4 linked regions of the Styela clava genome follow. The protein of the gene in region 3 purifies or fractionates together with the protein of the main gene of each other region. This does not show direct contact. Links are inferred from orthologs where the notes say so. Each region holds a gene or a part of one and is shown on either strand. Other genes may lie near its edges.

Region 1 (7,995 bases), on a different chromosome or scaffold from region 3:
ACGGAAATAAACAAGGAAATCGATGCTTGAGGGAAACTTCATACCATTGAGGTGTATGGACCTTTCCCCGAGCATCGACTTCCTTGTTTACCTCGTGACATTGGCCAATCAGCAAGATGCAAAAAGTGACGTAACAATGCTTCCTTTTCGCATCCGCTCAAATACTTTTCTCACTCAGACATATTTTCGAACGTGGTCGTAAACATTACCTCGTTTTCGCGTTTTCGAAATCTATTCGTTAGTTTTCAGTTGTGTTTCGGAAACTTAAATATAATTTAGATAATTCAATGATCACTCTGTCTTCCTAGGAATTTTAATTTAATTGCAGTGATAAAAAAATCAGTGTAGAAATAGCTATGATAGACTAGGCTAAAATTCTTCACCGTACTTTTAAAAAACAGATTGTTGTATGCGATGACTCATAATGATGGTTTGCAACACATATCCCATTTCACAGGCGCGAACTCGTAAAAGCACTCTTAAAATAGCCCCGAACATTTTGCAATGGTAAACTATAGGAAGAATTTTTCGGAGGTCAAAGGTCGGGGAAAGGACCATATAACCCACAGAGATATATAAATATAGAGTGTGCTTCTCTCTCGTTTTCGCGGGGTCATATGAAGCCTCTCTCGTTTTGACGATATGCTTCCAACTTTTCCGATGCGCGCAATGCATTTCTTATGGGATTTGACAGGAATTAATTATTTGCGTCGATTTTTTTTGCATATTCGCAAGTTCTTGATTCGTTTCTCATTATATATCAAACGCTAATCCTACCCCAGCCCACCATACGGTCTAATTTTGGCAGGTATATGAATATGCGTAAGTCTCGGTTAATAATATGGCCAACATATCAGTCGAAAGCGAACAAAAACGACCACAGAACATTAGCCAAGATGGCTTATTGGAATCGATTCCCTATTTGCCCATATCTGGCCGTATTTTATCGCCGTGAGTACTTTGCGTAGCCTGGCGCTGTAGTGGCCTACCCGCTATTGGGCGGGAACGAAAAAAAAGCTTAATTTTTATTTCTAAAACATGGCCCTAGCCTTATTCACTGGATCGACTCAGCAGCCAGAATAAAACGGTAGTTGTGCGAATCATGTTATGATGAAATTTTGAGGTTGTAATTTTTAGAAAATGTTATTTGACACACAAACCAAAACTTATACTCAATATATTGAAAGTAATATTTGTATGTAGATTTTCCGAAAAAAATACAATATATCATTAATCTATACTATAGACATCTAAATTGAAAAGCTTTCAAATGATTTGGTTACATACTTGATCTTCAGACTTGATAGGCCTCCATCTCACTCAGTGATGAAAAGCTGGTACTTGACGAATTTCTTTTGCTACAATGATAAATTGTCCTGTCAACTTTCAAGCAGTGTTTTAAAAAGCTGAAAATCAATATATATGTCATGATTTTGTGCAAGCCAATTCTAAATTTGAGTTAAACTAAATTTCGTTGAGCCAACTATGTCATTAGGTAGTTAATTCAGACAAATGTTATTTGACAGAGACACTGCAAAGCAAAAAATAGACGTTAGTTTCAATAAAATACGTAACGGGTAAATTTCGACATTAGATTTCATAAAAGCCAAACTTTCCTCCGATTTTTTTTTAAATACACAAAACTAAGAAAATTTAGACGAATAAAATTTATTCAGCGATTGCCATTAAATTTCAAATATTATAGATTAACATAGAAATTGCTTTTCATCGACCTTACAGTTACAGGTATATGTAATCATTCAATTTCATAAATACAGCTCCATATTTTATAACATACCAGGTGTAGTTTTCAAACTGCACGAGTTGCAAATATTAGAATAAAAGTAAAACACCCAATGAACTTTTCGGACTTCTGCTTTAAAACACAATTATTAAAACATGTACAGAATCTAAATCTTAAATTTCGATATGCACAGGATCAAATATACAGCGTAACAATGTTGGCTTGCATCGAACTATTTAGCCTTTTAAACGTGAACGTGGGTCTTACTTTTTTGGAATTTTGATTCGAAAGACAATTATTAAAACTTGTGAAAATATAAATCTTACAATTTTGAGGGAAAACACACGATCAAATAAGTGGCAATGCCGACTTTGATCGCAAGACCCGAGACGCGGTGCGCTTGCATCTAATTGTTTAGCATTCTAAACGAAAACAGTGGTGTACAGGAATAAAATAGGCGTCGGAAGTCAAATCTTCTGCCAACGCTCCCGCCACGTTTTAAAATGACATATTATTAATAATCCATTTGGGGTTAGGAATGATTTAAAATTGAATTCCCAGCGCAATCTGCATTGCTAACTTAAACTGGATAATTATTAATTCTCTTATTTTGAACGTTGATAGCGTCTTTGTACAAAGATCCAATCTATACAAGGCGATCCGGTAGTATTCGTACCAAGATGGTGCACAACCTGAACCCTAACCAGGTACACATACTGTGTTCAGGATGTGCGCCATCTTGGTACGAATACTCTGGGAGCACCCTATACACAATAAAATATGAAAGGGAAAAGGCTACGGCGAATCTCTAATAAACCATTGATTTTGCGCTACATTTGCGAAAGTTTTGAAAGTTATGCTTTACATTCATGTAAATCTTGTCCTGTTGAATGCAGCTTACGTAGCGACGTAGATCAGTATATTACGTTTAAGTTTCTTAATATGATAAGTCTATGTATTGTCATATAGCTTTTAAGTTCAACCAGTTTTGAGGAAACGATGGAACCCGTTCGATACAAAAGAGAATCACCCACCAATCTAGACTTCTGTATTTGGTTAATAATTCCAATTCGTATAGGCCCGAAAACCTCTAATTTACCACTTATACAATAGAAAAATGAAAGCAATGGAATATCAATGAAAACAATAGGTTTAAAGAACATTTAGCTCACCTGAATATTGTTTCAAACTCGCTGTCATAACCCAACAGTCAGCTTGTCCATACATTCTACACAAAATCAAACCTTATCCTACGACGAACATTTGTGACTGCGATGTCGCTTGTGGCTTCCCGCGCACAAATATTTGACGAAAAAAGCTAACTGATTGTTGTAATCAAATATTTTTAACTGATTACTTTAATTACTCCAGGTTGCCGTTACGGTCCGATCACGCTTCTAACGCGTGATCTCAAAGTTGCAGAATGAAGATGACGGTTGGGATTTGCTTCATACATTTTCTGATCGCATAATACCTAGTTCATAGTATTTTTGGGGGTGTTTATCTCGGTGACCGTACATTTGAACCCACGTATATTTGAACCCACGTACATTTGAACCATGTACAAATATCCGTAAAACAACTAAATTTCCATAAGTGCAATAGTACGCAGGTGCAATTGTCGTGGGTTCAGACGTACGTGGTTCAAATGTACGTGGGTTCAAATGTACACGGGTTCAAATGTAATGGAACCGTTTATCTCAGATCTCACATTTTTACATCAGTGACGGGAGCTTAGTACAAAGAATCCAGCATTTCCATTATATTTGTCTGTTTTGTTTTTCGAGTAAACGCGCACGTGGATGTCATCAAAAATGTAACCTTCCCTCCACTCCATGAAAGAATAACGGCGTGTTTAGCGTTATATCAATGCATTCTCTAAATTAACGTACAAATCTTAGCTCATTGACTTTCGCAGTCAAGAATGTTTTCATACAATAACGTGACGGCGATGTCCTTAAAAGTGGAGTCACAATGGGACGTTGTTTCGATGCCTACTGCAGGGCTACTCAACTATTTTTATCGAAGGTCCGCAAATAAAACTTCAAAATTATTTGGGTCCGGTCTTTCCAGAAATGATATTTCGGCCTCCTTAAACGGGCACTTCCTCGACCGACTAATGGTTAGTAGCAAATTAAAATTGTTTATTATGGTGTTATAGTTCTTTTCGTATATATTCAAAACTATGAAAGTCATTGTATAATAGGAAATTCAAAAACTGGGGCTAATGATCCAAAATAAATAATTAGGTGCGGTCCTGGCCTACAGTAAAGGTAATTTCTCCGCCCAAACCAAACGGCAGAGATATAACATCAGCAACAGCATTAACCACGGTTCTATGTGAAGTAAATACGACAATTGACTGCTCAAGACAAGTGCATACCGACGACAACGACTGATTCACATATTTGGTGTTATGAAGCTCGTGAAGAGGTAGACTGCTATTTACGGAGCCCCACAATAAGAACGTAACAAAAACAAATTGTTACTTACAGATTAATATTAATGAGTGATTTGAAAATACGCTATTCAATAACTCGGATGTATTTGCTTCTTCTTTAATTTTATTAATGTCATTTTGAGTAAACGAATAGTTCGCGGAGACTCTATAGTTCTGTATGAAGCACTTTGAGTCTGTCTCTACAGTAGACCTCTTGGTAAAAAGCGATCATGATACAGGTATGTACGGCCATAAAGAACAATCCTGAGATTTCGTCATCCAGCGTAAGGGTATAGACGTATATTAATGTGTTTAGTATCTATGTCAGCCAGTGCACTGCAGTTGACTACGTTCGCGTTGAGTGGCGCATCGTACTAAGCCTTAGGACTACGCTTGATTTCTAACCTAAGATTACCCCGCTTAGATTCGCAGGTTCAAATCCAGTAGGGGATAATTTAGTACCAGAGGATTGCTGGCGGCTTACTCCCACTATCCCTACCCTAAGCTAGCGCTTCCCAAACTTTTTTCGCCCCGGAATATTAATAGTTTTTATGATGTAATTTAAGTTTTTTCTCTACTTTCGCTTGAGGCACATAATATGCAGCACCTACGCCAAATGGATTTTTCGAACCGTCAGTAAATACTTGTACATAGTCTCGATAGTTTTTCGTGTATATGGTCAAGAAATGACGTTTGAAGTATTGTTGGTGAACATGTTGTACCATAAATCGTTAACGTTGTATCAATTTGCGGTGGCTTTAAGGAATCTTGAAATTGACAACTTTTGCAACAAAGAAGTTGGTAAAAAAGCTGTTGGTTGTTTTCATAATAAACGTTGCAAATGACGGTTTGTAAGAAAAATATTCTTCCCACGACTGTTTGAATAATTGTGCTGTAATTTCGCTGTCACGAGGAATCATTCTGCATTTGTAATGTAGACATTTTCTATAATGTATAATATGTAAAGGCATTTCGTTACATTGGGATTGTAACGCTATAATAGGAGTACTTTTTAATGCAACCAAACATTGTGATTGGATTACAGCCATTTTCCGCAATATAGTCGTTGTTCTTATTGTTCCTGTTCTTTGACACGTTTTTAAAAATTCCAATTGCTTTGAAATTTTCAGTAGTTAAAGATGGAATTTTTTTCTAGAAGGCTATTACTTTTATTAGTTTCAAATATTTCTGTGAGCTTTATGAGATTCGTTTTTATTTTGAGCTATGACGTCATCAGAATTTGCCACCATATGGCGATTCCGCAAACATTTCAACGATATATTGGTCAGCAAAGTCGGGAGTTTCTTAATAAGGTAGACCAGGGTGGTCCAAACTCTGTCATGCTGATACATTCCGTGCGGCTCACAGAACAATTTTAGCGTATATTTGTATGTAATGGAGTAACGTTTTTTTTTAGATATTCCAACTGGGGTTGGGATCCCGAAATTCAAACCCTTTTTCTAACGCTTTGTGCCAAAACACTCCTCTGTTTACAAGCATCGGCCATGTGACAGTAGTGACGAAACGCAGAGCCGACTTAACGCCGCGTAATCCAGTTTTTTAGCTAGGTCCAGAAAACAAACTTAGACTGACTTGGTTGGTATTTGACGATGTCACTAAGCTTGCTCACGCTGCAAGTTTCTAAATTACTCAATATATATAACAATTCGTAATAAAATGAGTGTCGCAAGAAAGGTGACATGAGAGAACACGGCGGAAATGTATTTCCTTGCCCATCACGCAGTGTTTGATTTCAAGTAATATCTGTCACGAAAGAATATAATTTGAAGCGACATTAAACGCGAGATGCGCAAAATACAACGGTAATTCTCGGAAATTAACTTTAAAATATCTGAAGGCTTTATATATCTTCTTTAAACGAACGCCAACCATGCAACCTAATAATAGTCTGATTAGAAGATCTCGTTGTTTAATAAATTTAAAGTAAGTAAACTCGCGATATTTTGATCACTTTTGGTTTTCTCCGACTTGCGGCCCGCGAGACCTCGTCAAAAGTTTTTGCGGTCCTTCAACCTAGCAACCTTGAACCACTCTGAGGTAGACTACTAGGTACCGGTAAAATTTCAAACTACAGTTGTGACTTGTATCCTTTGGCATTTCGATTCACGTTGAGACTGGAGGCATGAATCTTTATTGTCACACTCCCTCAGGATTAGAGCTCAACCGATATATCGGCCCGATATTGCGTGTTTGCATATATATAATATCGGCAGTAAACGGCCAATATATATATCGGCTATATATAATAGTTAAAAAACCTGAAAAGGTTCGTAAAGTTCGTTTTATTTACTGTTGGTTGTGATTATTTTTAATGGATAATACACTTATGTGGTTTATTGTTTTTATAATTAAATTACACATGAGGGGGCACCAAAGTCTTCAGTGCTTAGGGCACCAAAGAGGCTTAATCCGCCCCTGCCTACCCGAGATATACCTAAAACATACCGGTAGTCCTAAAGGGCGCTTCAGAAGTGTGTGTACCAATATTGAGGTAAATAATATTGTTCGCCCTACTTTACATCAAGTTGTGTAAAAGGACTGAAGGGTATATTCACTTGGGTAACACACACAGTACCCGAACTCGTAATAGAACCAAAATAAGAAAAGTCAGAACAAAGTTATGGCCTAACGCCAACCTGGTACACAGTCTACGGCAGTATCAACTAAATTTCTCTTCGTCCTATACTGAAGACTCAGGTGAAATTTTCCCCGTGGAGGTTATTGCATTTTTGGGATACCAGGCAAAAACAATTGTTTCCACTTATATCTATTGTGCAATCGCCTGAACAACCAATTTTTTTCAAAAACGAGATCCACATCAGGCTCCAAAAATACTCGAATACAATTGTATCTGGTATGTTAGTCGTTGCCGAATACCCACAAAGTGTCGCATATACATCCATATGCAGCGCACTGGGTAGTAAAATAGACGAAAACTGGCCAAAACCATGAAAACGAACGCCAACCATGCAACCTAATAATAGTCTGATTAGAAGATCTCGTTGTTTAATAAATTTAAAGTAAGTAAACTCGCGATATTTTGATCACTTTTGGTTTTCTCCGACTTGCGGCCCGCGAGACCTCGTCAAAAGTTTTTGCGGTCCTTCAACCTAGCAACCTTGAACCACTCTGAGGTAGACTACTAGGTACCGGTAAAATTTCAAACTACAGTTGTGACTTGTATCCTTTGGCATTTCGATTCACGTTGAGACTGGAGGCATGAATCTTTATTGTCACACTCCCTCAGGATTAGAGCTCAACCGATATATCGGCCCGATATTGCGTGTTTGCATATATATAATATCGGCAGTAAACGGCCAATATATATATCGGCTATATATAATAGTTAAAAAACCTGAAAAGGTTCGTAAAGTTCGTTTTATTTACTGTTGGTTGTGATTATTTTTAATGGATAATACACTTATGTGGTTTATTGGACACGTAGTGGACATAACGATCGTTTCAATATTATGTTGTTGTTGTTCTTGTTCTTGTTATCCTTGTTGTTGTTCTTTGACACGTTTTTAAAAAGTCGCTTTTCTCTTCGAATACTGGACCAATTGCTTTGAAATTTTCAGTGGTTGAAGATAAAATTTTTCTCCAGAAGGCTATTACTTTTTTTTTCGCTATGACGTCATCAAAATTATTGCCATTGGGTGGCGCTACGTGTCCATATATTTGAGCATAGCTCTCTTGTTGTTTTTATAATTAAATTACACATGAGGGGGCACCAAAGTCTTCAGTGCTTAGGGCACCAAAGAGGCTTAATCCGCCCCTGCCTACCCGAGAT
Region 2 (7,140 bases), about 8.4 Mb from region 3:
TTCTTTTAACTTACGAAGCATCTTATGCAAAACAATGAGCTTTCCACTTGCTTTGATCAATTCATGACCCTCAAACGCACCGTTTGCCGTACGTGTAGCTTCCTCTGCAGCTTTATTAAACAGGTATGGATGGTTGCAACATTTCTTTAAATCCATCATAATATTAAGCAATGAAGAATTATTTGCTCCTCCTCTTGAATTTAGACCTTCAAAGTTTCTGGCGAGAATGTATCGATAAAATTTTCGTTGAAGTGGTGAAAGGTTGACTCGAACTATGAACTCACTTTTTGATGCAAGATTTTTTAGGACATCTGCTTTTAGTCTACGCAGCATGTGTGGTCCAAGCATGTCATGCAATTTCGAAATCTGATCTTCTTGTGATATATCAGCAAACTCATCAAGAAAGACATCTAGTTCATTGAACTTCTCTGGACATAAGAAATTCAGCAGATGAAAAAGTTCTTCTAGGTTATTTTGTAATGGCGTTCCTGTCAGAAGAAGTGTGAATCCAAAGCTATATTCAGATAGCACTCTAAAAAACTTTGACTGGTTGTTTTTCAGTCTATGTGCCTCATCAATACAAACAGCTGCCCAATCGACAGACCCCAAAGTTGTGTTATCGATGGAACACATTTCATATGACGTCAGCAAGACATGAAATTTAACAAGGCATCCGGTTTTCATTTTGTATGCTTTATTTCCTGATCTGATTGCATTGTCAGTGAATGAAAATTCATGTTCTCGAATGACTGCCCGAGAATCCTTTCCACCATAGTAAGCTACAACATAAAGTTCTGGTGCCCACAATTCAAATTCTCGTTCCCAATTGATCATAGTGGATAATGGTACCGATATTAAAAAAGGTCCCTTCGAATGACCTTCATGAACTAATGATTTTATAAATACAATAGTTTGAATAGTTTTTCCCAGACCCATTTCATCTGCTAAAATGGTGTTGGTACCTTGTGACCAAGAAAATCTGAGCCAATTCAGACCTTCTAGTTGGTAATCATGCAATGCAACACCAATATCTGTGATGTATGTAGGTTGGTCTTCGTACTTTTCAGAAGGATCAGGTTTGTCTTCTTTTTTTCTGTCTTCTCTGCGCTTTTTCTTTTTTTTTTCTTTTACTGCTCCTTCTATACTCTCTCTATGTTCATGATACTTTTTAATAGCATCTTGTAATCCAATGACTTCTTCATTGGTTTCCAATATCCACGAAGCCTTATCATATCCCAAATCCTTCCATTTTACTAAATATTGGATTTGGCCGCTTCTCCCTGCTTTTTTATGATTGATAATTCTGTGTATTGCAAGCCAGTCTGGATTTATACCATATTTGTAATACTTGTTCGCCAATTCTTTATTTGTCCACTCATCGTCCCATTCCAATGGTGTTTCCTCTTCCATATCATTACGACGCGTAAATGTTCTCCACTGATGAATGAAGTAAATTTCAAGTTGTAGCTCTGTTATCCATTCCACTTCCCAGTAAGATAGATGATGATATTTTACAAGAAATTCCCGCTGTCTATAACCCCACAACTTTTTCTTGCCTGTTTCATTACCTGGTCTATCATCAGGTACTTCAGTATATGGAGCATCTCTCCATCTCCAAGCCATCACCTTTTCAAGTCTACCCTTGGGTTGTGGGCAAGCACATCTTGGGCATGACCATTCACCATCTGGAACAACAACCATAGGCGGATTCAAACAATTTAAATGATAAGAGTTTGGACAAGTATCGCAGATTAGCAGATCACCACCATCCTTGCAAACAGTACAAAACTCCATATGATCGTCTTCTTCTTGAACCTCTTCCTCAACTTCTTCCTCTGAAAACTCTTCAGCATCACTATCTTTTGGTTTGATTCCTTGTGCCTGACAAACAGGGCAAGGCCATTTACCCTCTGGAGCTTTGTCTAATGGGGGATCCAAGCATACAAGATGGAAAGCACGAGGACATGTATCGCATAAAATAATTTCGCCACCTTGTTTACAAACATCACAGTAATCTTGGTGATCTGTTTCATATCCTTCTTCACTTGGATCTCTCATTTTAGGCTTTGTTTTCTTCTTTGTGCTTTTTATCTTTCTTCCCTTTGCTCCACCTCTTTTAGATTGCTTTGGTTTGGTTTCACCCTCTAAAACAGAAGCTGCCAAGGTCTCTGCAAAATCCATATCTGAATCATTATCTGATGGTGAATTTTCTTCTTCGCTCGAAGCATCTTTCTTTTTTCTTTTCATGGGAAGCCTGATACGAAGAGGAGCAACTTTTTTTTCCTTTTTCATCCCAAATTTTGGTGTGGTGCTACGACTACGGCTCTTTTTGTCCACAGGCACCACATCCACAGAAGCAGTGGGACCTCGCAAAACAGAAGGCTGGGGTGAATCTTCCATCTCAGCTGCCATCATTGTTGGCGTTGGCACACCCGATGATGGTGCATTACTGCTTGATTCCTGCATCTCTTGAAATCCTTCCAAAGACTGGAATTCCCTCCACAGCGCATTTATAAGCGGATACATTTTTGCTATTACAAGACTTGGATATAATGTAGCAAGTTTTGTTCTGGCAAACTGATTGAAAAGTCGGTAAGTTACATAGGTTTTATACTCTTCATCAGTATAATCATGCTCAAATGGAGGCAAACCCCACTCCTCACAAATCTCTTTAGATGTCTTTATATCCTCAACCTTCTTTTTTTTGTCCTTCTTCCTTTTCCTTTTCTGTTTTTCTCCATCGATGTTAAAAGACACTTCTGGATCACTTTCAATAGCAGATCCTTCGTTATCCTCATCGCTGGCTTCGGTCTTACGTTTTTTCTTTGCTTTTTTACCGCTTCTGTCTTTTTTTCTAGATTTTTTTCTATATTTCTCTTGTTCAGGAGTTCCAGGAAGACTATCATAACCCAAACCATCATTAGTTTCTATTTCCATGGCACCTTCATCGGTACCAATTTCAGCCATATTTTAAAATTAAAGAATGCAATATCTGTATAGAAATTGAAAAATAGTTGATTATGGTGAGCAATGAGGTATTAAATCAATCTGAAATTTGCTGATTCTATTAGGTTGGCAATAACCTACTTCAAAAAAACGCTATGTTTGAATTATTGATTGTTGGAAATAAACAAATTGATTTTCACAGAAACAGAACTGGTTTGACATGCTCTATTTTATTCGAGGACCCATTTCACTGGGGTCTCCAGGTACAAATATCCAATTTAATGTGAAGTCGATTAAACTTATTTGCTTGACAAGGATAAATGGGAGAAATATCTGAATTTATAATAATTTGAAAAAAACATAACATTTTTTCAATTATGAAAGTATGGTATGTGGCATAACCCACTTATTACGGAAACAAAGCTGTTGCAACATAAATTCTAAAATTCATAAATTATTCAACAGTCAACTTAGTCTAGGCTTACAGTTTATTCCAACAATTACCATAGATTGGGGTCTAGTGTAGTTTCGTACCTCATGTACTTCTGGTGGGCGCAACATTACAATTTTTGCATATGTCAATCCTAACCCCCACCTGACTGCATCATCACTACGACGTCACAGTGTCGCTATAAGGCCTTTAAACTAAACGAACTGTCACTCAAGACGCACAGACGATCATCCGAAATTGAGCAAGCTATTTCTCTCGTTTTCTCGTCGCAGTGATCCCGATATGAGAGAGATCGCTGCCGTTAGTGCGTTCTTTATCGTCGGCGCAGATGCCATTCAGGGCGATCGTAGGTATACTTTGGCAAGCTCTATGACATCATAGTGACGTAATTTTTGGATGGCGTAGTGGGGGTTAGAATTGACATGTGCAAAAATTGTTACGCTACGCCTACTAGTACTTGAGGTACGAAACTACACGAGACCCATAAATTGGTTAATAATTAAGAATTAAATTTTTTTAATTAATTAAAATTTTAATTAAAAAAATTTTAAAAATCCGAAAAATCGTTAAATTGACCTAAAATTTAAACAAGATCTGTCTTTGGGGCTCAAATTTTGGGTCAATTAAACGATTTTTCGGATTTTTAGGAAATTTACGTTATTGCGTTGTATAAAAAGCATTTCGTTGGAAAACTGATTAAGTTTTCTCCCAATTTCTTCATTTGATTGGAAAGATGTTGAATTCAGCTATCTATAGCCAAAATATTTTTTGAGCCCCTCAAGCGATTCTTGTACAAATTTTGGGTCAATTTAACGATTTTTTATATTTCTGTGAAGTTTTTTTCTAATTTCTTTATTTGATTAGGAAGATTTTGAATTCAACTCGGATCTTGTTCAAATTTTGAGTCAATTTATCGATTTTCTGTGAAATTTACGTTATTGCGTTGTATTTAAAAGTATTTTTTTAGAAATCTGATCAAGTTTTTTTCGAATTTCTTCATTTGATTGACCTCATTTGTTATTCACGTATACATGTTTTTGACATTTATACAACATTTTATTGCACAACTTACATAATTTTATTAGAGTATATATTCTTATTCTATTCACATCAGACTGGATACCAGTACTGTATTTTACACAAAATTTTTTAGACCGCATTTGCTTAGTAGACTACGATTCAATTATGTTTTATTCATAAATTTTATAATGAAACACTTTTTATGATATCGTATTTTTGAGCAGCAGGATTCCGCTAGCGTGACAGAGGTTCCAAAACACACAAGGCATAGTATAGTTCAATCAAAAAAAATATATATATTGATCCAGTTTTCAGACTTCTGATGATGATAAAATGAGATTTTGATAATTAACAGAATCAATCATTCCCTATCATGAACGATATATTAGATTCAGATATTTATTTTCACTTTCTGACTGAGTAAGAATCAATGTAGAATCTAAGATTAATTTCTGAATTTATTCATCTTTTTTTTCAAATGGTTCACTCAATGAGTGAATTTATTCAAATATAAAATGAATAATGTACAAAACGAGAATATCGGTCAAAGGCGGAAGACTTATCGATCGAAAGGTAGGGGATCCCCCAAAACAGCGCTCTCACTCCATAGTGACACCTTGTGTCCCATCACTAATTAATTAATAACTCGTTAATTATGCGACATAATTCATCCAAAATCAATAGGCTTCTGGTCCGACATATGATGAATGCACATGTAAAATCTGGAGCAGATTCAATCTCGCTTTCGTGAGATATAGCGTGCATCTAACAGACAGACAAATACCTATCAACATACTTACCGATTAAAATCGATAAGTAATAAATAACTTATCAGTCCATACCTACCCCATTTTACATCCATAATCAATTGTTCGAAGAGAGTTTTTGAACCGTCGCCTACAGACCAACCGTACGGTCTGACGGCAATTCAATACTGCGCTTGAGATATATCCACAGGATAAGGAGACAAATATCGATGGAAGCTATCTTTAATGGCTGGCGTGGCCATACGAATAAGACGTCTTATCGGTTTCCCTCTCTCCGGGAATAAATGTGGAAGTCTTTACTATTCCTGATGTGAGATTCAAACGCTAATCGATCTGATCTGATCTAACCTGATCAGTCTACCACTACTTTAGTTCAATATCGGCTACGCCACTAGTGGCGCGAATATGGCACAAGTAGAAGAACCCTAATGTGATTTTGGTAAAATAGAATATTCATGAATGCTTCCCCGGTCATCGATTTCCTTGACAAACCAGCAAAGAGTCAACGATGACGTAACAATTGCAATTTTTGTAGCCGCTCATACATTTCGTTCGCTCAGACCGTAAATACCTATTAATACGCTCAGACAAATATTCAAGCATGGTTGTAAACATTGCCTCGTTCTCGTGGTTTTGCGCGTTATTTGTCAGTTTTCAGTTGTGTTTACAAAAATTAGTTGTAATTGAAGTACTGTATTTTAGTTGTCATTATGTCTTCCGATGAGCTTTAGTTTAGTTACATTAATAAATCGTCCCGGAAAAGCTGCGATAGACTAGGTTGAAATTAGCTATTAATAAGTGTAGGCGGCAATTGGTTGTATATTTCGATAAAAATAATGGTTTTGAGCATGTAAATCAGTTTGTAGGTGACAACTCTCCAAAACACTCGCATAGGAAGAATTTTCCTAGGGTCAAGGTATGGATGTTTTCCCGAGCATTAATTTCCTTGTTTTTTTCCGTAACAATTGCAAATCAGCAATGAGTTAACAATGACCTAACAATTGAAATTTATTCCGTCGCTGAGACACTCCTTTCGCTCATGGTTATAAACATTGCCCCTTTTTGGTAGTTTTGCGTGTCATTTTTCAGTTCTTAGTTGTGTTTTATAAAATAATTGTGCATCGAATAACTTATTTGTCATTAAGTCTTCTGACGACCTTCAGTTTAGTTATAATAATCAAAAATCAATACCTCAAACGATGCGATAGACTAGCCTAAAATTAGCTATCAGTACCTATGAGCGGCAAGTGGTTTATTGTTCTGAATAAAAATAATAGTTTTGAACATGTGAGCCAGTTTGCAAGCAGCAATTCCTCAAAACGCTTTCAAAGTCAGCGTTTGGTAATGATACCGTATAGTGGGAGTCCTCGACTTACGACGCAGTTCAGTTCCTGAGACTCGGTGTAACCCGAATTTCAGTGTAAGTCGGAACATTATACAGTAGTCACTTTGATATGGATATGGTTAAAAGCGCATGTGACGCCAATATCAATTGTGATCAATTGTGAAGAGATGTCAAATTTGCATATTTTGTAAATTGGACTTCAATCAATCAATTTTATTTGGTCACTCTGATAGAATCAAAACACAAAACAACAACAAACAAAATACAGAGGACCTGGAGAACGGCCATAAATTATTAAAAAAGTAAAAAACGTACAAGTACGTGCCCGTACACCAAAAACAGTCAAAACACAATAAAACAAAAACACGATATAAAATCAGGCAATACTTCTATTAATCGATCAATCAATTTTATTTGGTCACTCTGATACAAAAACAAAACAACAACAAAGGGCAAACAAAATACAGAGGATCTGGAGGACGGGCATAACTTAATAATAAAGTTGAATACGTACAAGTACGCGCCCGTCCCCCCAAAACAGTCAAAACACAATAAAACAAAAACACGATGTGACATCGGGCAATATCTTTTAAATTGAAATGTGAGACTTG
Region 3 (7,328 bases):
ATTTTATCGCCATGATCGTCAGTAAAACAACATTTAAAGTATTTCGCGGCGGTGGAGAGTTAAAAATTCATAAAACTGCAGACCTTCATATATTGCACAACAATGTTATTCATTGGCGTTGAGTTTCTCCGTGTCTAATAGAGCTACAAGTGTGAAGTCATCGTCAAAATAAACAGCAGGGCTTATAATTTTTTCCTTGTCAAAAATAATTTCACGCGTTTTTTTTTCACATTATATTGCTCTACATCGAGACTGAATTTTGGTTGGTGGAGAAAAGGCTGGCATGAGTAGCCTAACAATCCTGCAGATATAATCCAGACCACTGAGATTCAAAACTATTTAACTTAACAGTAAATGCTTTATGTGTTTAGAAACATGTATTTGAGAACAAAATACAGTTGTTATTTGGCAAAAATCTAACATTACAGACACAATCACTGGATAAGCATGTTATTGTCTACACAGAAATTGGCTGAAATAAGCAGGCATCAAATGTTAAATGCGGAAACATTGTTTTGCATGGGTTGTTTCATTACTTTAGTTTGATAAGCAGCATTGGGCTATCACGAGTGATGAGTATTGCTCTGAATACATACAGCAAGCAAGCAAATCATTCTGTTGAAAATTGGCTTCCTTGCCTATTGGAGTGCCATTGTTGATTTGGTTGAAGAAGCATGGAAGGCTATTATCACTATATTTGCCTTTGATGCATTACGAGTTCTGGAGCCATCTGCAAAGTACACATTCGGCTGAATCAACCCGCTGTCTGCTCTAAATCGGAGCATCCAGGTTCTTGTTCTTCATCGTTGTATATGTTTTCAGCCATCTGCCACACCTGCATGATGTTATCCTCTGACACAGAACATATTACCCATGGTTCTTTTGAGTTCCAGGAAAAATCGGAGATCTTGGCTGTGTGGCCACCATGAATGAACTGACAAAACATACGGTAATTTCTAATTAATTTTTTGAAAAAATTCAGCAAATAACAACATGAAATTAAAAATAAAAATGCATTCCAAGCATTTTCTGTGACATTACTGCTATACTTCAGTGACCAATTACTTATGTGATTGAAAGTAGATACAAAACTATATTATATTTCTCTGAGCAGTAACAGACGGCTGACAATCGCCTGGCATAAATAATTAGTAAAAATGAGCAATTTGCATGACACACAGAAATCAATTGGCAAAAGTCATAGCTTATACTTTAAATGAAATTTTTACCTGAAATATTTGTATATGGATGGAAATGATAATAATAAACAGGCAAATTAATTTGGGCATATTATTTTGGCCTCATTAAACTGTAGGTAAACAAAGCCCACCTTTTATTTACATACAGGGTGATCCAAAAAATAACAGAGCTCATAAATTTCTTAATTACTATGAAAATGAAGAAAACTTATTTAACACTTCAACTTCTGTTTGTGTATAATTGTACCCAAAAGTTTCAGTGATCTGGGATGCTTTGGGCAAAAGTATGTTCCAAAAGATCTGGGTTCTGTTTTTTGGAACACTGTCACACTGGAAACATCTCATAATTTTGTTCTACCTATCATATATACTTTTAGTATATTTAACAATATTTGGATATTTTTAAATAAGAAATATTGAGCAAATATATTACTACAGCTCAAAATATTGTACAATGCATTCCAAAATTCAATTCCACTTTGCACAGGAGCAGATACTACATATCTAGCTATGGCACTTTTATTGTATAATTTATTCTTGGTTAAACTGATGTGATCAACTACTGAACAAAAAAAATTAACAGAGTGATAAAAAAGTACATACCAGTAGTTCTGGAGGACCATCCTCCGCGTCTTCTGCGGACTGTTCTTCGCCAATCTTACTTAGATCCCAGACATTGAGTCTGCGATCAGTTCCACTTGATGCCAGGATAGTTTCATTATGTGGTGACCATTGAACTTGGAATATTTCATCCTTGTGTGATTCAAATGAATGAAGCTTGAGCTTAAGATTTCTCAAATCCCACAATGCAACAGTTTTATCAGCTGAACCAGTGGCAAGAATAAATTCACTGAAGGGGTTGAATGATAAACAATTCACTTCGGCAGTGTGAGCCTCAACGATATGACTTGGTTTATTGGTACTTTGTGCCCTTGTATCCCAAATAAGTAATTTCTGATCATCTGCTACCGATCCGAATAGACTTTCATGAAGGAGGTGCCAAGACACATCTTCTACTACAGCAGTGTGACCAGTAAATACTGATTTAGCATCGAGCTCACGATTTTCTTTTAATTTGTGACCCACGTCCCACAGACATATAGTGTGATCATCTGAAGCACTCAACAAGTGACCAGTTACATTTGGATTCCAAGATAAGCCATAGCCCTCTTTCTGATGACCTTTTAAACGAATATCAGGTTTGCAAACTCCACATGGATCTGGTTTAGGTGGATGTTTGGTGATATCGAAGACTAGGACATCGCTACTTGGTGTCTTTGTGCCGATGATACACGGCCTCTGAGGCATGTAACGAGCTCTATTGACCTCTCCTTCGTGGTTAATTTTTGTTTCTATCTCAATTTTCCCACTAACTGAACCAAAACCACCAAATTCCCCTCTTTCACTATCATAATGAGATGCATCAAATGTAGCATCATCTGTGGGAAGCTGAACGCTCGCAATGATCATGTGATTTTGTTCATCTGAGGTATGTGTCCCCAAAATGAGCTTATGAACAGCATAGTCTTTCCCATCTGCTTTTGCTACATCAGGAAGCCATTGAACTGTGAGACTTGGCCATTCTAATGCATGTGTCATTACCAGATCATACAAAAATGGTGTGTTCTTTTTCCATATCTTATATTCTTCATTGATAACTCTTTCTTCCACTGCCTCATCAAATGTTTCTTTTTCAGCCATAACAGCCTTCGATTTTGAGTTAAAATGTCTAATTTGATCAATGCTCTATAGTAAACCAGAAACTATTGTAATGTATAACCTTTTGTGCATACATAATAGGATTTTTATTCTGGCGTGAGTAAATTCAAGAGCTAGAATTTTGTCCTTATCAATAATTTGAAAAAATAAGCAATTCTACTAATTTTATTCCGAATAAGTGAATATTATCTCCTTACAAGATCAATTCAATTCATCAAAGAATACAGCTTTGGGAGGGTGGAGGGCAACTTGTCACAGCGCTAACTCGCCATTGGCAACTCGCCTGCTCCATATTTGATTATGATAAGACAGTGCAAGAAGAACTATAATATGCGGTATAGAGATGTAAAGGACCACACTATGATTATTTAACACTAATATTGCATCAGCATTTGAAACTTTGAAAATTACTGATATTTCAGCGAGTCGAGTAAAACATCAAAATTATATAGACTATTCAAAATGACTTTGAGTGAATAACAACAACTGACAAAGCTGAAAGTATCTCAAATTATGTTTTTAAAGTAGTTAAATTGTAACGAAGCTCACGATATCCAAGGAATTCAAAGAATGGCAGTGTCACATCATTATCATTTGAGAATGTTTGATAAGAGATTTGTAGCATCATCCAATTTCAGGTATCCAAATAGATCATATTAAGCAATAACAAAACGAGAATATCGGTCAGAGACCAAAGACTTATCGATTGAAAGTTAGGGGATCCCCAAAACAGCGCTCTTGCTCCATAGTGACACCTTGTGTCCAATCACTAATTAATTAATAATTCGCTAATTATACGACATAATTCGCCCAAAATCAATAGGCTTCTGGTCCGAAATATGATGAATGCACATGCAAAATCTGCAGCAGATCCAATCTCACTTTCGTGAGATATCGCGTGAATCTAACAGACAGACAAATATCTATCAACATACTTACCGATTAAAATCGATAAGTAATAAATTAGGAATTTAGTCTTGCTATTAGCAACAAATACTAAAATAAAGTATGCGTACATTCGTTATATATAGTCTAGATACCTAAAACACTTACGTAAACTGCGAAAATATGTAACTTGTAAATAAAATATTCCACCCCTTTTATCTGTGCTTCTATAAGAAAAATTCAAAATTGGGGTTATATATATTATATTGATTATAGAATATTCAACTTTCAACACCAAACTGACAGTGCTATTTCAGTACTGCAATATGTAAGTAGTCTATAGACTAGATGATACAGTAATATGACATGATAAAGGATATGTGGATCAACGGATGTACTTAATGCAAAGAAACCCGAAATCTGATAAATCACTACCGGTATCTGAAAAAATCCCCCTACAGCCCTAACAGTGGCAGCGCAGCTTTGGTTTAGAGATGTTACTTGATTTTATCTATTTACCGTTAGTCTATATCAGGGTGGGCAAACTGCGGCTCAAAGAAGATTTTTGTGTGGCATGCAAAAGCCTTGAACAAATAGCCTACTTGAAAACAAATAAAAGTCATGAAAAAAATTACTACAATTCTGTAAAATTCGATTCATAACAAGCATAGCCTATCCGCATAAGTAATACCTCTGGCTCTGGGAATGTCAAAAAAATATACCGGTAACTTAGATGGTTAATTTATCAGTTTGTAGGGTTTGATGACAATATCAGCGGTGCACTGCAGTTCTCAGATGTCTCAACATCTGGTTAAATACAACGAACATTCTATTCGTCTCTGATTAAGCCTAAGCCGTCTTACTGACTTTCCTCTTCCCCGGCAGCCCGGGATAAATACGTACCGTACATCCTAAATCCTATCAGGACAGATGCTTAAGGCAAGGCAAAAATGAAATAAAAACAGCGCGAAGCAGGAATGGAGGATGTTTCCTCAACCCTTGACCCCAGAGAAATTATCTTAGTACTTTATTTTGGAGGTGGTTTGTAAAAAGGTGACAACTCGGCCCTAATTTGCGGTGGTTCAGAATCACCGCACCTTTATAGCACGCGAAGCGTAGGTTGAAAAACAACTGGGACATGAATAATGAAAAGCAGCACCCCTAGTCCCCACCCATTAAGATTGCTCTATCCCAACTTCTATCTTTTTGGCATATATTCGTGAATTAAGGTCCTGTTCGCCAAAGTTAATATAAAACATTCAGCCCTATCAGACAAAAATAAAGAAATCTTGATCTGTCAAAAATGCGTGTTTGTTTGTGAAAGAAATAATATATGCTGGTACGTCGAAGGGCCTACTGTTTCACTTTTCAATTGATTACCCTGAATAAATTTGCCCAAGACGGGCTTATGTAATTAAATATTATGATTTTTGAGCGTTCTTGTAGTGGGACACAAAGTTGTTAGCTGCAGTTAGGAATTTTGCCATGTTTGCAGTACAAGTTTAGTATGATAATTTATAATACATAGAAATGAAACATATGAGTAATAAAAATGTTGAGGAGTAATAAAATGGTGATGAGGTTCCTCTGTAATTATCTATCTACAGTATATCCATACCTACGTCTATATCTATACCTACAAAAAAAAATAGATTTACTGAAACTCATGGAGCCATACATGACCGTGTTGTCTGTATGGTAAACACTCAGTTCAGTGATTCAGAAATTGAAAGGGAGAAGGAAGTTGAAGACATAGTCCAGAAATCAGGGCATGATTCGTGTGTGTTATATTCGTCAGAACAAGTATCGCTGGCTTCAGACAGAAATACAGATGATGAATATATTAGATGCTCAGAATGATGCCACCAATAACTAGCACATATATAGCGTCAGAGTCTAGGGAAGTATTTTCCACACAGTCAGCATCTAAGACAAATATGACCTTGAGTTCAGAAGCAGATAGATAGATGTAGAACATCAAGAAACAAGTCGTCATCAAACATCTATGACTGACATTCAAATGCGATGGAGAGCAAGATCTACACTACAAGTTGCGTGTAACTTCAAAAGGCCACCTTTACCTCCTCAGCCAGAAAAGACATCGACGTGTTTACAATATTTTCAGCAGTTTTTTGATAATAATAATTTAATTGATCACATTGCAGAACTGACCAATTTGTATTCGGTACAGAAAGTAGAATTTTCCGATGCTACAAACCACAACGAATTCGAACAATATTTGGGAGTAGTTGGACATCCATGATGGGCATTCTGGAATTACCGCGTTATCGAATGTATTGGGCACAAGAGACTAGAAAACAACCAATGGAAAATGTAAGTCCAAGAAAATGTAATTCTATTCCTCAAGAAGAAAAGCATGCACTAGATCAGGGGTTCCCAAACCTTTTCAGCTTGCGGCACACTAACAACAACATTAAAAAGTCGCGGCACACTTATTACAAATCAGTTTTATTAAATCCCGTATTCGTAAATATTATGTGTATCGGCATTAAATATGATTAAAACAAGATTTTGTGGGTCAATTGTAACGAGTCTTTATCGTTTTTAGTCTTTTATTTCTGTCAGCGCATGAAATTAATATTTGCAAAATCATGAAAATGCGAATGGGAAAAATATTTTGTTGTACTATATGTCTATATATATATATATTGCAAGGGTGGCCAACACGCCGATCGCGATAGACCGGTCGATCGCGTTTGATGTTGAGTAAATTTGCCAAAATTCCAAGCGAGCAAAGAATCGGACTTGAAGAATATTGTAAATTAGATAGAGAAGTTTGAGCAGTCATGGAACATTTATGGTTTGAGATTGTTCATTATTCGCTGTTTAGATAGTACATGGACACTTTCATTCAAGGTTTTTGGAGAAATTGAAAACACTTACAACTGAAAATTAGACAGGCCCTAGATCTGAAGTGTATGATTTCAATAAATCTGAAATAAATGATAAAAATTCTACTCCGGGTACAATTACATAATCAAAAAATTAACAAATTGAATGGAATATGAAAAATGCCTACTTTTGTGGCAATTTCATTGAGAATGCGCCCGCGGAGCCGAGCTTATTGGCAGTAGTGGAATTTTTGTATGCGTGTGTGCGGTTATCTGCGTATTCGTATTCATTACTTGTCGATTTTAATCGGTAAGTATGTTGATAGGTATTTGTCTGTCTGTATGTCTGTTAGATGCACGCGATATCTCACGGAAGCGAGATTGAATCTGGTCCAGATTTTGCATGTGCATTCATTTTATCTCGGACCAGAAGCCCATTGATTTTGGACAAATTATGCCGTATAATTAGCAAGTCATTAATTAATTAGTAATGGGACACAAGGTGTCACTATGGAGTAAGAGCGCTGTTTTGGGATCCCCTAACTTTCGATCGATAAGTCTTCGGTCTCTGACCGATATTCTCGTTCATTTTTGTTTATGACATTACAACCGATCAGTCGATCGCGAGCTATTTTGAAAATTTCAGTCAATCGCGGTCGGAAGCAGGTTGTGT
Region 4 (8,005 bases), on a different chromosome or scaffold from region 3:
CTGTCTAATCCACTTTCCTCTCTCTCAGAATAAATAGGAAAAATCCTATCCAATTTAAGCAATGTCAACAAAGTAAATAGGCTACCTTCTTCTGACAACAGTTTCATCATGAAACATACGCTGAGGTTTTACGGCAGAAACATCATTTTCATCATCATTATCAACTTGACTGTTGTCAGCAGTGTCATCCGCCATTTCAGGATAAACCATTTTGGATACATTGTGAAGAATTCGGCGTGTTCGTGTGTTGTATACTCTCATAGACCTTAGAATAGAAAGTTGCATGTTACGTGAAAACCATATTTTTGCACTTCATTCAAGGGTGGCTGAAGAGTATAATCTATTATTGTGTTTGTGAACATATTGTAAAATAATATTTTTGGATCCAGAATATCGAATACGTATATTCTGAATTTGGTCATTTTTTCAGCACATAACACATGTACAAGTCAATGCATATTCATTAAGAAATAATGAATTGATCGGTTTTGCATTTTTTACAGTTTTTAAAAATAAAATGAACGTCTTTTTTTTCACACTGTAAGACTTCGATTGATCAAATCATTCAAAATGATAATAATTCTAAATTATACCAAATTCATGAATATAAATAATTTTAAATCCACTTGAAGATTTGATTCATTATGGGCATTCAAGTGTCAAACGAATATGGAGTGCATAGGAGGTATAAATGCCAATAGGTTCCAGCGACCCTCTTTATCATATGACCATATGCCGCAGGATTCGAACCCACATCGCCTACACATAAAACGATCAGAGGTAAGGACTCTAAGGAGACGATCAGTGAAATTCAGCATAATTTCAAAGTAAGTAATTTACACAGAAATGTGTTTTACATACCTATCACAGCTGAGAGCAACAGCATATTTATCCAATGGGTCCCAAGCGACTCCGTGTATAAAATGTTTAGCTTCAGTCAAAATACTTAGTTTTGATCCCTTGGCAACATCCCACATAATTGCAGTGTGATCAATAGACCCAGATATGATAAAATCCCCATCATTTGACCAACTTAAATCATTGATGTCTTCAACATGTCCTCTATGAAAAATAGACAGATGTTAAATATTGAGACAACCAAATATGTTGGGTAATTGAATTTCATTGACACAGAGCATATATAGATAGATTGGTTGTGAGCTTTCATTTGTTTATCTTCTTCAAGACAAATAAAATTTTAATTCCAAATTTTTTTTCCACTATAATCGTTGTACTGATCATATAGACTAGATCAGTGCTTCCCAAACTGGGAGAAATGACCCATGAAGGAAGGATTTTAACAATATTAAGGAATATTCAGATGTCCACATCTTAGCATTTCTTTTCTTATGACGATGATCTGAGATGCTGTCAGTCATCTACATTACCTAGGTTCAATATCGCAGAAACGATGCGACCCTCCTTTCTGAGATTAAATCAGAATGTTGTTCCTGTTTTTATGGATTCTTACACTGCTGTTATTGTTGCTATTAAATTGCACGCTGGAAATTTTATTTTGATGAAGGGATTAAATGACGTTTTGGTGATTCAATTTAAGTGTAAAGATAATATGAACAAAGTCTCAAGTCCCCCACTATTTACTGGATTAATGCACTATCACAAGTATATATAACTTTGATAAGCCAGGCAGCTTGGCATTTGAGTGGTCACCGACAACTTGGCTCAAAGATTTCTTTTTTACTTCTGAGTAATTGTAAATGAACTTGCTTTGAGCAAACTTTTAAAGAAAAAAAACTACCATAATTATATTTTGAAGGAGGCATATTGTTATATACGTTATTTATAATTTTAACAGAGTGATGCAACACAAGAATTAAACTCTAGCATACCGGAGCATTTTAAAAGCATTCCATGTTTCTATATTTTTTCCTATATCAGCATCATCATCGAATATATTTGGCGGTTCATTTTTATCACTGAGTCGCCAGAGAATAATTGTTCCGTCTAAAGATAGAAGATAAAAATAAGAGAATCGCATGTCATATATTTTGAATTGTATTTGGGTCAGTTTCGAAGAATCATAATTAGAATCGTCAGTTAAAACTTAATACCTCAAATGCCTCTGACAAAGTGAAACTCAACACACGCATGAACACGAATTTCATTTGATTTTTGAGCAAGTCTTCGTGACCTTGCATTACTATTATATTTCTGAAAAAACTCCATAGTCAGATCAGTTTATTATTTCCAGCCAGTAAATTAAAAAACGATATAAATACAAAATTATATGAAAATGTTGATGACATAATTTTAAAAGAAAATAGGGAGCAGTGGTGAACTAAAGCTGGTATCGAGCAGCAACCCAGAAAGTTTAGATGAAAAAATGATTCGATTGCAAAGATCCTTCAATTGGAAATGATGAATGAAATGAAATCCTAGCATGACTTACCATCACCTCCAGAAGCAAGTACGCTTCCCGACTTCGAAAATCTAACAATATTTACTGCTTTTTCATGTCGAGTAAGATTTGAAAGAAATGTCACACAAGTTTTGAGCTCTGGTTTAAGTTCCCATATCTGAAAACATTCAAGGCAAAAAATGTATCATGCAATTTGGTATTTTTCAAGTATAAAGCAAAATTTGGACATGTTTTAGATTTACTGTGCTATGCTAGATCATTAGATATGCATGAATTTTAAAATGAGAAAGCACTTACGAAGATTAAAAACGATGTAAAATCAATGTTATTTGAAAGATATTATTATTATAAGATATATTATTGTATGTTAATTCCCATACACCATAAGTTGACAAAAAATCATACCCTGACATTTGAATCAATACCAGCAGTTGCTACACGAAGTGGTTGATCTTTTTGCTTAGGTTGAATATCAACGGAATATATAGCTTCCTTTGCATGCCATGATATTTCTGGCGTAGTAACTTTCATTCTGACTATGTAATTTCGAAGTTAGATTCCATTTGTTGAAATACATTTATAACCTACATCATAAATCATTAACAAGTATATAATGATAATGCTGCATAGAAATCAGGAAATATAAACAAAAATTACAGAATTATACAGTTATGGGTATACACATATGACAGTACTTGCAGTATGACATAAAACAGCACAACATAGAAAATTCCTTCACAAAAACTAAGTCGGCCAGTACTAGCCTACTTACTACTCCTGTACTTCCAATCATGGATCAAGATACCTCAAAATACAGAACAAATAGACATAAAATAAATAGGTTGTCTGGTTGTCCTTTTTTTTTATAGTTCTACGTTGTGGATTCATAACAGTTTTGTAAAAATAAATAAATGATGAAAAAATAATAAACATAGTTACATATAATAAACAAATATATTCATAAATATCATCCAGTATTACCCAGCAATTCATAATACAGTAATATTCCATTGTTGATTCCCGATAAATTTTCCCATGTTTATCAGCAAATATACATTAATTTACATGTTTTTCAATTATTGATAGCAGAAAAAGAAAAATTTATACAATTAGTCATAGATTCTTGCAAATTATGTCAAGTTCTTTTATAAAACTAGGTTTATGTCTAAATTGTTCTATATTTCTCCTTGCTGAAAGGGATTTTCTAATTCTTGTTACGACATTTTTAACACTTGGAAAATATAATTTTCAAAAATAACTGCATTACATTCCAACCATATTTTTGCATTACGTTCAACTAATGACAAATGTGAAAGACACTGATTATTTAGTTCTAGTAAAACACACGTTTTATAAATATTTTTTAACAATTGTTTATTTTTAATACAACAGAAAAAACATAATCATACACATTTTGTGTAAAAGCAAGTTGTTCCTGATACTGTGATATTTACTGGAACAACAGTACTGATAGTTCAGGCAGTTGGACAAACTCTTGAACTCTTGGATAAATAAGATAAAGTTAGAAAATGAAGTAGAATTAATTGGCGTAATTTTTTTTTTATCACTATCCTTGCCCATATTACATCAGGATGTGACTGTGTCAGTGTGTGAGGCATATGGCAGAATTGGTAGAGTTCAAATGGCAGAAGCAGAGAGATTGAAAAAATTTAAAAATAATTTTGCCAAAACATTGTGACATTATATCTATGTATTTTTCTTAATTTTATTCCCGTCACTGAATAGGACCACCAATGTCCCCAAAAAAAAATGAGACCAACACTGTACTGCTGTAACAGGATCATATGATTAATATAGCCCAACATGAATGAATAAAGCAGACATGACCAATGAATACTCAGATTCCTAGATACCGTAATGCTGTACTGGGACACCAGGATACAGGGATAGGACGGACCCAAATACTGTAATAGGAACGCTGGCTGGCTGGGCGTTCCTTTAGTATGATTTACGGAATTAGGGATCAAAAGCAATTTGCCTTAATATTTCATCCCACACAAACTGCTTCAAACCACAATTAAACTTTTCCCTAACTGCGTGAGGATCCGCGAAAAAATTCACTCCACTATTATCAAAGAAAAGCGTTCATAACAATCAGCTGTGAAAACGTACTGCCGAAACTTCCCGCCCTTGTATGGACCTTTCCCCGGGCATCGACTTCCTTGTTTACTTCGTGACATTGGCCAATCAGCAAATTGCAAAAAGTGACGTAACAAAGCTACCTTTTCGCATCCGCTCAGACACTTTTCTCACTCAGACAGATTTTCAAGCGTGGTCGTAAACATTACCTCGTTTTCGCATTTTTGAACTCTATTCGTTAGTTTTCAGTTGTGTTTTGGAAACTTAAATGTAAATCAGATATGTCAATGGTCACCCTGTCTTCCTAGGAGTTTTAATTTAATTGCAGTAATAAAAATTAGTGTAGAAATAGCTGTGATAGACTAGGCTAAAACTCTTCAACGGTAATTTTAAAAAACAGATTGTTGTATGCGATGAATCATAATGATGGTTTGAAACACATACCCCATTTTACAAGCGCCAACTCGCAAAAGAACTCTTAGATAGCCCCGAAAATTTTGCAATGGTGAAGTATAGGATGAATTTTTCGGGGGTCAAAGGTCGGGGAAAGGTCCATACTCACAGCGCTGTTCCACATCATTGCGCCTTTTATAGTATAAATAAATATGATACAGTAATATGAAAGAAGTGTATTTAGGTTATTTATCACAATATCAATTACATAACACACTTATTAAAAACGAGGAATGGATACGAATAATATACTTTGGATAAGAACAATAGGATTCACATATTTATGTCGGGAACGAGGAAAGCCGATAAGACGGCTTAATTATATGGCAAAACCAAACTCGGTATGTTAGTTACTGGGCAAAATGCTGCGAACCCACCGGTATGTTAGTCGTTGGAACCCACGCAGGATATAACGCTTAGCGAACAAATTGACAAATAAAATCATCATCTTCATTCTTTGGAGTAAACGAGTCTACATTAAAAAAGGGATTGGAAAATAGTAAAAGATACCCCGGTTTTACTCCGAAAAAGCCTCTGAACAATCCCTGGTGACTGGACGATATGCCGTGGTTCGTCATATGATTAAGTCGGCTTATCACTTTCCCTTTACACGAATTAAAAGTGGAGATTCTAATAGTACTATTGATGCCTCCACACAGCTGATTAAACCTATAACTGCAACGGTTGGTGACCGTACATTTGAACCCATGTGTATATCCGCGGGTTCAATTCATATTCGGGTGCTAAACCCCCATGGGTTAGGGTTAGTATGGGTTCAAATATCCGTAAAACAAAAAAAATTCCATAGGTGCAATAGTATGTAGGTCCAATTGCCGTGGGTTCAAATGTAATGGAACCGCAACTGTTTATAACTTCAAATTTATGGCGCGAAGGAGAGTAAAACTGTGCCACGCTTTCTGCCCGTTCCCAACCGCTGGTCCGCGAGCTTTTTTGTCGGTCCCCAAAAAATTTCGTTGTTTTTGTGCAGGCGCAACCGCTTCACCGACGTTGCGTTGTTACCCTATTTATCTTCCGCCGATATATTGCATGCTAAGCACTCACACTTTTCGCTTTCCTATTTATTATTTAAAGTGTCAAAACCTAAATACCAGACGCGTTTTAAACCACAAGGCCCCATGAGTAGTATCGTGCACCAAAAAAAGAATTCTCAAAACAAAATATTAAGAAGCTGTAATCCCAATGTCTTATGCAATGTAGACCAAGGATCGAAGAACTTTGGAACAGATAAACAATATTACTTGTTTCAAAAGTTATGCTACCATTGAATGCGGATTTGGTTTCACATTTGAATCAATTCTAATTGACCTTCATCGAGCATCACAAGTGAGCCAGCGGTAAAGGGAATCACCCTGCGATGGCGAGGAGTCTTCATGCACGTAATTAACCACACGTGGGATTCTAACCGGCGAACCCGTGCATGCTAATCACAGTTGGGATAACATGCCCATTACTAACTCTAAGCAGGATGTGCCAACTGCCTTGCATTTTGTTTCGAATCTTAGTACAAACTGCTCACTCGACTGTACCTTGATTGATAAATTGTGACACACAACAAAACGAATAAAGAAAAGTAACTTTGTGAGGTGAAAAATGCCTGTTTATTGAGCACAATATTATTGAATTGTACATGCAAATACGTACAAAAATTTAAAAGAACTACTTATAATTCAAGGCATTTTTTTTTCTGAAAAGAAGTGATCTACAACACTATTCGTAACATTTTTTAGTCAAATATTTTTTTTTGCCAGGCATTAGCAATACTCGACTAGTGCTTGAGAAACACCATCCATTGATGATAATACTGGACTGAACATAAGGAAGTAAATATTTTTTCACCCTCAAAACGGAAATTTTGACAAACAATGCAGCATAGATAGATGGAGGGAATGCATTTATTTGGGTATCGAGTCTATGACCTTCTATCAATTTAAACACAGCAATAGCAATACCTTTTTGAGTGTTGAATACAGAAAATGTTATATAGATAATACGGGATCAAGTAGAAAATGTCTAAAAAACGTACAACAACATGAAAGTAATAAAAGCATTTCAAAAGAAAAGAAAAAAATTTGGTGAAACTCAGTTGAGCATGCATGACTCGTATGTAGGAACCATGTATTTGATGTTAATGAAAGCATCTTCGCCACCATGTCTCTCAAACGCTTCCAATGTCTCCTGGATGAGATCTCCAATGTTTTCTCTCTTCTGTTGGCTGTAGTCAATTCCATCACCGGAGTTACCTAGAATTTAATGACAATATTGAGCTAACTACCAGTACATAAAATAGTGCAATCTTGGATTCATGCTTCAAGATTTCTTGCAACAAGGCCTAAGCTCGAAGTAACCTGAAATGAATACAGCTCAAGAGATAACAATAACTTCAATACTAGAAGAAAAAGTTTCATATTATAACAAACAGTACTCGAGTAATTTCAGATAAATAAGTGAAGTTTTTGTAAAAATTTAAAAATATGTCTCTCTAGATTACTCACAAAAATGTCATCAACGTTATGTGTTTCACTAAAATCATTATTTATCACCAATGATGCAGCAAGGGATTTTCCTTGAAATGCTTGCTGTGTTATATTTCAACAAAACAAAACTGGTAACAAAACTAAGAATATTACATTCTTTTACAAAAAATTACTCAATTTTAAAAATCTAAGACTCAACGGACTTACGATTCTTGTTCTTAAAAATATTCAAAATGGGAAGGATTTGTCTGTAATAGGGCACAAGAGCTTCTCCAACCATATCACCCGATACAACCAGATGCTGAAGAACTTTGAGTGTCGTGCATATGACTGGGCGATTCCTTGTATTTAAAGCATCTAAAAGAAAGAATAATATAAAATGGATAGTTCAAAGCAAAATAAGATGTCAAAGTGAAAATATGAAATAAGATTGCCAAATTGCGATGCGAAAATAGAACTGCAGACAAAAGCTGAAATCAAACAATCATCTAATACCCACTGTCTTGTTTGAATAAGTTAAGGAAACAAATAAAATTTGTTTGATTAGAAATAGACAAATATCACAATTCACAATTTC

The links.
Region 1: the proteins of histone-binding protein RBBP4 (region 3) and SWI/SNF-related matrix-associated actin-dependent regulator of chromatin subfamily A member 5-like purify together in Drosophila melanogaster (affinity purification with western blotting; 5 studies listed by BioGRID, with this or other methods). This does not show direct contact. The link is inferred for Styela clava from reciprocal best matches to the Drosophila melanogaster genes Caf1-55 and Iswi.
Region 2: the proteins of histone-binding protein RBBP4 (region 3) and chromodomain-helicase-DNA-binding protein 5-like purify together in Drosophila melanogaster (affinity purification with western blotting; 4 studies listed by BioGRID, with this or other methods). This does not show direct contact. The link is inferred for Styela clava from reciprocal best matches to the Drosophila melanogaster genes Caf1-55 and Mi-2.
Region 4: the proteins of histone-binding protein RBBP4 (region 3) and chromatin assembly factor 1 subunit B-like purify together in Drosophila melanogaster (affinity purification with western blotting; 3 studies listed by BioGRID, with this or other methods). This does not show direct contact. The link is inferred for Styela clava from reciprocal best matches to the Drosophila melanogaster genes Caf1-55 and Caf1-105.

The regions. Positions count from the first base shown.
Region 1 is NC_135260.1:16,354,234-16,362,228, forward strand, and holds the start of SWI/SNF-related matrix-associated actin-dependent regulator of chromatin subfamily A member 5-like, read right to left. Parts: upstream 3,004-7,995; 5' UTR 2,917-3,003; intron 1,407-2,916; 5' UTR 1,288-1,406; intron 1-1,287.
Region 2 is NC_135252.1:12,201,507-12,208,646, reverse strand, and holds the start of chromodomain-helicase-DNA-binding protein 5-like, read right to left. Parts: upstream 3,012-7,140; 5' UTR 2,968-3,011; coding exon 1-2,967. UniProt on the Drosophila melanogaster protein: ATP-dependent chromatin-remodeling factor which acts in nucleosome-remodeling by catalyzing ATP-dependent nucleosome mobilization. Involved in regulating transcription. Plays a vital role in development.
Region 3 is NC_135252.1:3,759,074-3,766,401, forward strand, and holds histone-binding protein RBBP4, read right to left. Parts: upstream 3,016-7,328; 5' UTR 2,901-3,015; coding exon 1,803-2,900; intron 935-1,802; coding exon 755-934; 3' UTR 359-754; downstream 1-358. UniProt on the Drosophila melanogaster protein: Core histone-binding subunit that may target chromatin assembly factors, chromatin remodeling factors and histone deacetylases to their histone substrates in a manner that is regulated by nucleosomal DNA.
Region 4 is NC_135250.1:10,849,903-10,857,907, forward strand, and holds the start of chromatin assembly factor 1 subunit B-like, read right to left. Parts: upstream 3,020-8,005; 5' UTR 2,912-3,019; coding exon 2,786-2,911; intron 2,538-2,785; coding exon 2,411-2,537; intron 1,966-2,410; coding exon 1,851-1,965; intron 1,063-1,850; coding exon 862-1,062; intron 266-861; coding exon 86-265; intron 1-85. Other genes in the region: parkin coregulated gene protein-like, read right to left, coding at 7,034-7,194, 7,636-7,785.